Linked DNA regions of Xenopus tropicalis. The protein of the gene in region 1 interacts with the protein of each later gene in a biochemical or structural test. Links are inferred from orthologs where the notes say so. Each region holds a gene or a part of one and is shown on either strand. Other genes may lie near its edges.

The links. The genes of interacting proteins can lie anywhere in the genome.
Region 2: the proteins of snta1 (region 1) and gda interact in a test that uses a peptide from one of them, tested with the Homo sapiens proteins (2 studies listed by BioGRID and IntAct). The link is inferred for Xenopus tropicalis from reciprocal best matches to the Homo sapiens genes SNTA1 and GDA.

Annotation. Positions count from the first base shown.
Region 1 is NC_030686.2:41,886,620-41,890,352, forward strand, and holds the end of snta1 (alpha-1-syntrophin), read left to right. Parts: intron 1-541; coding exon 542-729; intron 730-2,230; coding exon 2,231-2,323; 3' UTR 2,324-3,108; downstream 3,109-3,733. UniProt on the Homo sapiens protein: Adapter protein that binds to and probably organizes the subcellular localization of a variety of membrane proteins. May link various receptors to the actin cytoskeleton and the extracellular matrix via the dystrophin glycoprotein complex.
Region 2 is NC_030677.2:130,514,148-130,517,734, reverse strand, and holds the end of gda (guanine deaminase), read right to left. Parts: coding exon 3,472-3,587; intron 3,176-3,471; coding exon 3,057-3,175; intron 2,052-3,056; coding exon 2,024-2,051; intron 809-2,023; coding exon 738-808; 3' UTR 556-737; downstream 1-555. UniProt on the Homo sapiens protein: Catalyzes the hydrolytic deamination of guanine, producing xanthine and ammonia.

The sequences.
Region 1 (3,733 bases):
AGTGGCCCCTACACCGCCCCAATGGTCCCTGCCACCTTCACCCCTGCCGAGGCCCCCAACACCCTCCGACCCCCTCCCCTGAGCACTTCTAAAAGAAACTTTCCTGCGGCGCGTCGGGGGAGGGAGACTGTGGATCGCGGGAGTGCCCTGGGGGGGATCGGATCTGGGCCGCCGGGGCCCACTAGGGCCAGGGCCCACCGGGTTTTTTCAGTCTGACTGCCTAAGGCTGATGGCACACACAACAGCCCCTTCTGACAGCTCATACATGTTCTAGGGAGTATTTTTCAGACTGAAAAGCTGTATGTTGTTGTTTCATAGCCCTAGGCCCCCAGCATAAAAAAAAAAAACTAAATATCGCCCCCTTCCTTTACACAATGCTCACACGTAGTGGCCAACATCCCTTTATTATCCTGTCTGTGGTACTTACTGGCCTTTACTGAGCAGTTGTGGGGTCTGCTCACCCAAATATATTTTATATATATATGTTATATGATGGAGAAGTTATTTCCTGCCTAAACACACATCTCTTCTCTCCCTGCAGCATGTACATGGGGTGGGAACGAGTGTGCCCTGTCTATACACATTGATCAAGGTTTCACTCTCTTCACGGAGGAACCCGGCCTTAACAAGGTGATACACTTCCACCAGCCATTCGAGAAGCTCCGTATGTCGTCTGATGATGGTGTCAGAATTCTCTATCTGGAATTCGGCAACCCCGAGGCAGAACTTGTAAGTACTCAATGGTCTTCGGTATGAAAATGTAACTCTACCCGTCACTATTCATTATTCTCTTTCAGGGCCAGCATTATCAATCGTGGGGCCATTTTGGTGGGGCCCCCAAGACATGTTACCTGTGGGGGCCTGGGGTAGTTTAGTGAATCTGCCCTGCCCACAGCAAGTAGTTCATATCAATCACAGGCAAATGATTGTCTGATAGCTTCGCTTTAAGGACACCTGTTCCACACCTAAGGTACGGACTGATAAAGCCCACTCTCTGGTTGGGGGAAACAATACTATTCTCTCCATACAATGCTTGTAACTAGCTCTTTGTCATCCATGTTGGAAAGGAGCTCCCAGTGTGGGCAGCCATGTTTGGGCTTCATCTGCTTACACACAATGAGCTCATTATGTACATGTGTGTCTCCTACCCATTGTAGGTGGCATAGTGGGCATAATAGTACTGTTTCCACCAACCAGAGCACGGGGTCTATTGGGCTGCACCTTCAGTAGGGCAAGTAAATTTCCTAAGATAGATGTCCCTTAATAGTGGTACTCCTAGATGCCCTTTTAATGGATTGTTGAACTTGGTCTTCATTTTTTAATTATTTGTAGTTTTTTAACCTGAATAGAAAGATAAGCAATAATAAAATGACAATAACAATAAAATTATTGCTTTTAGAGCAATAGTTTATAGGCTGTCTGGGTCAGTGACCCCATTGGAAGCTTGAAAGGGTCAGAAAGAGAAGGTAAATAATTCCAAAACTATAAAAAAAACAAATAATGAAGACCAATTGAAAAGTTCCTAAGAATTGGTCATTCTATAATATACTAAAAAGTTATATTGAAGGTGAACAACCCCTATAACTGTCAGGCCAGTAACAACTGCTGCCAGGCCCAGATTTGTGGCAAGGCCCGGGCCTAGGGAGGCATAAATTTAGGGATGGCATACTGCCCAGCCGCACTGAGGTGCTCCATATGTGAGCTCAAAGGATGCGAATGATTCTAAGGGGGGGGGCGGAGAATGGGGACGGCCTCTGGGCGCCCTAAACAGAAATCCAGCACTGACTGCTGCCCAACCACGGCTTGGAGGGAGAGCTATTTTGTGGAAATGGGGTCCCACAAGGGGGAGCTGGCATAGACCTCTGGCAGATGACAAGTAATTCTAAATGCCAGCAATTCACCAAAATACACAACTGTGACCTGTGTCCATTAGGGGCCCAACATGGAAGGTCAGCCTAGGATTGCAAGGTTTTTTCTAATATCTTTTAGCCAGCTTTGAAGTGGGCAGTACTAGGTCCCACCCGCAACCCCGATATGGACTGTGGCCTAATGCATGGAGTGCTACTCCATAAGTAAGGTGGCACTGTAGTTAGCATTGCAGCATGGCCTTGATATATATACTCCCTGTGTCTGTGTGGGTTTCCTCCCTCATGTCAAACACATACAGACCACATTCATGCATATGGCTTCCAGAATCTATTTACTAACTGACACTTCTACTCTTTTCTAGCAACTCGACCTGCACTCCTGTCCAAAAACCATTGTCTTCATCATTCACTCCTTCCTGTCGGCCAAAGTGTCCCGACTGGGCCTATTCACCTAGAACGCTGAAAGTGGCGGCAATCTTGGACCTCACGGCCGAGCGCTAACCAAAACCAACCCTAGGGGGTGCTGGAGAGTTAGTCCAAAGTGGACAGCTTTCCAAAATGTCACACAAATAATATTTGTATTTACACACCATAAATGGCCAGAATTAACCACTTCTATTTCACTATGTCTGGATACAGTTAATGGCAAGGAAATGTGAAGCCTCTCGTCTTTATTCTTTGTAAACTGCCGATTCCCTAACCATGAATTATAGTGCCTTATATATATATATATTTCTTTTTTAAAGGTTTAATGCCATGGCTTCAGGGAGAATCCAGGTCAGTCTCTCTGATATACAGTGGGTTTTTGGGGAAAAACAAAAGTACTGTGCCTTTAAATGCCCAATATCTGCTCCACGCCATGTTGTTATACAGCAGCACAACCGCTCTACAATCAGTTATCAATTTGGTCTAATTGTTTCCCCTTCGGAGCACAGGTTAGGGCGTTTGTATAAATATATTAATATATATTCATAAATGATCATAGAGGCAGATATGTATCTAGTTTTATTAATTATTGAAATTAAGCTACCCGGCACAACTTTTTAAGCTGCATTAGAATAAGGGCATTTGGGGGGGTTTATTCTGGACTTGAACCTATTATTTTACAAAGTATTTAGCGTGTGGATATAGATATATATATATGGGAGGACGTTTCATGATCCTGATTGTTTGGAAAGAAACGGAGGTGTTTACTTGCCCTTTGGAGGTGTACAATAAACAATAAAGTGTCTGAGCAAAAGTTCTTTTTGTAACGATATATATTCATATGGGATGAATCACAACCATGTGTGTATATAGATATATATACATATATATATAATTACATTGCAGAGGTGTCAAGTTCAGCCTTTTATGGTTGAGCAGTGGAAGGAAGGCCCCTGTCCTAGTAATAGAGGCAGCTTTTTGTCGGCCACTCACTGCTTTCTGGCAGGAGCAGCCCTGATTGGGTCATGCCCAACCACTCTGTTGCCTAATTTAACTGCAAACAGAACTGGCCCAAGTCCTATTGGCACCAAAGGCAATACTACTTGGCCCGGTGCCCTGCTTGACCATCTGTTCCCCCACATTGTTCAATGGCTCCCCACCGCCCCCTGCTGGATTCACATGGTACCTCCCTCACAGCTTGGTTCAGACAGTTCTCTTCCATCTTCACCCTTCCTGTTGCACTGTTTTCCCGCCTCTAGTTCCAGCATTGGGCTGTAAGTGTCCAGCAGTGGGCTGGGGGTGTTTATAAAAAAAAAAGTGCATTTGTTTTTATATAAAACTGTATTGTGCTGTGCATACACCTGAGGATCCAACACACCTGAAGTTGCAGCCCTAGGCACGTGCGCAGGGGCAAAACTATGGGTAAAGGTGGCCATACA
Region 2 (3,587 bases), on another chromosome or scaffold:
TACACGTTATACAACTTTGTAATGTATGTCTGTTAAAAATGTTGTACCTGTTTTGAGATACAGGCAGCTTTCTTATCTCTCACTTGATTGCAATTCCCCTTGAAGTTCAGCGGCTGCTGTCCTTCCCACTCGCAATTGATTTATATATTATCGGCAAAGCAAATTCAAGAGTAAATAACATAGCAGGTATTATAAGTTATTCCCTTTATTGCTAGTGCTCTATAACATGAACATGTCTCTTATTTCTTGCAGAAGGATAAACTGACATTCAGGGGCTGTTTTATTACCATTCAAGGCTGAGTTTTTCTACGTTTTGCAGCAAAAATTGTGTTTTTCTTGTTGATTGTAGGTTTTTTTGGTGTCAAGATTTTTGGGTGTTTTTTTGCAATTATTTTATGGGAAAAAAAGTGATAAGAAAAATGGCCACATCAGGAACTGCAAAACCCAAAATCAAAAGTTAATAAATTGGCCCCCTAGTGTTTAAAATGAAGAATGTAGCTTTTAAAGTGTAGCTTAGTTGAATACAGTAAGATTAAAAAAATATTTCTCATAACATTAGTAAAGTAGTAAAGTTTAATAATGGATATTCAGTTGGCCTTGTTCTGGGAGAAAAGATTGTTGGTAATATTGGTAGTATTATTAACATGATTGCTTATACATTTATTATCATGATGTTACATTATGACATAATTAACATATGTTATAATGCGGTCCTTTAAAAAATAAGTATTGTGAAATCATGAATTGTTCTGGAAAGGTACCACGCGTCTTCCTGCGACATACACTGCTTTGATGTTACGGTCATCACCTTAAACAACAAAAAATAGACTATATATAAAGTACTGAAATTGTTTATTTTTATAACAAGTTCTATAACTTGTTTAATATTTTAGCTAGATAGCACTGGAGCTTCAATTGTAAAAATAGGCAAATGTCCAGATTTACCGTTTCTATTGTTGTGATGTAACAAAATCTTTACAATGTGCCACCCTTGAGTAAACCTTAACCTGACTGGCCCGAGAACTGTGTTATGCAATGCCTCACTGACAAGTTTCTGAAGGCACTGGTGTAACCTGTCACAACAGAGGCTTGCATTCTGTTGGCTGGCTTGCCTCTCCAACAGGAGACCATTTTGAATGGAGAGGAGCAGAAAGCATGGGCTATTCCTAGTAAAGGGCCTGGTGGACAATAGAGAGTTTGCAAACGATCTGAGAGGAAGTGCTGCTACTAGAAGTGTTGGATGGATCAAATGCAGTTGGCGCATGGTGTGCTCCTTGCCGTGCACTGTCCGGGTGTAGTAGCCTGGGCAGAACTGGGGTCTGGCAGAGCATCTATGGCCAAGAGGCATGGCTCTAAAGGAAACCAGGTTAGTATTTATGTGTATGGTACTTTTATTCCATAGTTTTGCTTTGGTTCTTGTTTTGTGTCTCTCTTGGAAAACTAAGCAAAAAGTAGTGTCTGGGTGTTGCAAAAGAAATGTTCCTACTTAAAGTCAACAATCACTGGGGAGGAGGTGAAAAAAGTAACCCACACCAAACAATCAGTTATTAGCAATGGTTAGTTATAATAACCAATGCTGGGATAAGCTGACCCGGCAGCCTAGGCAACCTGGTCAGTTTGGCCCTGCCCCAACCAGCCCCCATCCACCGTGTGTGCACTCGCGTGCGCAAATGAGCGCACAATGCACACAGGGTGGCAGGGTTGCCAGGGCCGCTGCAGTGGGGGGAAAGGGTCCGAAACAAGAGGTAGGTAAAAGAAGAGGTACCTGCCTGGTGCCCCCCACCGTTGCTCCCTAGGTGCCTTTTTTGCCTACCCCTAGTTCCGGCCCTGATAATAAATAGGGATGCACGGAATCCTGGATTTGGCCAAATCCAAGCCATTTTTAGCAGGATTTGGATGTGGCTGAATCAGGAAGCCTGGCCTGGCCACCCAATTCTTTTGTTGAAGATTCAGTATTTGGACAAATATAACAAAATATGGATTCACTGTATGCCCTGAAAATATATTTTAATAAAATACTTACCTAAATACAAAAACCTCTGAACCATGTCCTGGAAAAAAATAAACATGAAATGTAATCATTAAATCACTATTCATATAATTGTACTGCAAACTTAATATGCAGTATATAAATCAGTAACACCAAAAAACTAAAGTGTATTAAAATAATTGAAATAAAATGTACAGTTGTCCTGCACTGGTAAAACGGGTGTGCTTGTTCCAGATACTTTACTATGTCATTCAAACTGGATAAAGGAGAAAAGGCACAGGTTACACAGCAGATAACAGTTAAGTCCTTTAGAATACAATGGTGTTTTATTTGTAATCTACTATGTCACCTGTGCCTTTTCTCCTTTTTTCCAAATTGAGTGGCTGCCCCCATGGCTACACAGCAGCTTATGTATATTAACTATAGTAGGGTTTCTTAAGCAAGCATGCAACTTTTACCAGTACATGGCAACAGTACATTATATTTAATTACTTAAATAGATTTTCATTTCCTGGCATTACTGTTCCTTTTAAAGGAGAAGGAAAGGTAAAAACTAAGTAAGCTTTATCAGAAAGGTCTATGTGAATACAGCCATAATTTCTTATCGAACTGCTGCTCCTCATTGAAAAGAAACACCACATTTCTTTCCCTCTATTCTGAATATATGATCTGTTCTCCCCTCTCTGCGGTGATCTGAGCCCAGAGCACTGAGATACAGGCATGAAAGTGAAGTCAGACCAAGTTTAAATGGCAGCCATTGTCTTTAACAGAAGGCACTTCTAGGGCTGTTAACTCAGGTATGGTAAAGCATGTATTAACTAAGGGACATTAGGCTTTAATTACAGATCTAAAACTGAAGAATTCAGGCTGGCCCCCATGCACACTTGAGCTGCTTTTTCACATAATAACAGGCAAACTATTTCTGCAAATCTAAAGTATGACAAATGGAGCAGGAATTAAGTTCTCTGTGAGTCTTGCTCCTGGATTTTAATGTCATAAAAACAACAATTTTATAATATATTATTTGCAGATAATTCATTTAATAATATATATTAATAGTAAGTACCTCCTTGGAGAATTGAGAAAACACATCAAATGGGCTGTTGTGGATTTCAGGACTGATTAGCAAGGCATCAAATTCCTTGTTAATTTCAAAGTTTCCAGTTATGTGGTCAATATTCAAAGCTGTGGGAATAACAGGCTCATTCATTCAGTTATTTTGCTTTGTACAAAAACAGATCTCATGAGAAGATATTTATTCATAGATACAGAGAGATTGAATTAACATTGATACAGAGAGATACATGACTGTCTGCCAGAACATTCTTTCCAGAGGAACAATGCCATCTTGCCATACAAAAGTAGAGTCTGTGCTAGACACCCATATACATATGGGTCCATACATATTTTAGCCTTTTTCTCTTATGTTCCACATAAACTCAAAAACCTCAGTGGTGGTTAATGAACAGATGTTTAACTACCTTGACTTCCTCCAAGGGTTGCAAGTCGGAATGCTTCCTGATCACTTAATACTTTTTTTCCATTGTTTTTTATTCTGCAGTTGCATTCTTTCTCTGGTAGCATGCCATTCTCCTCT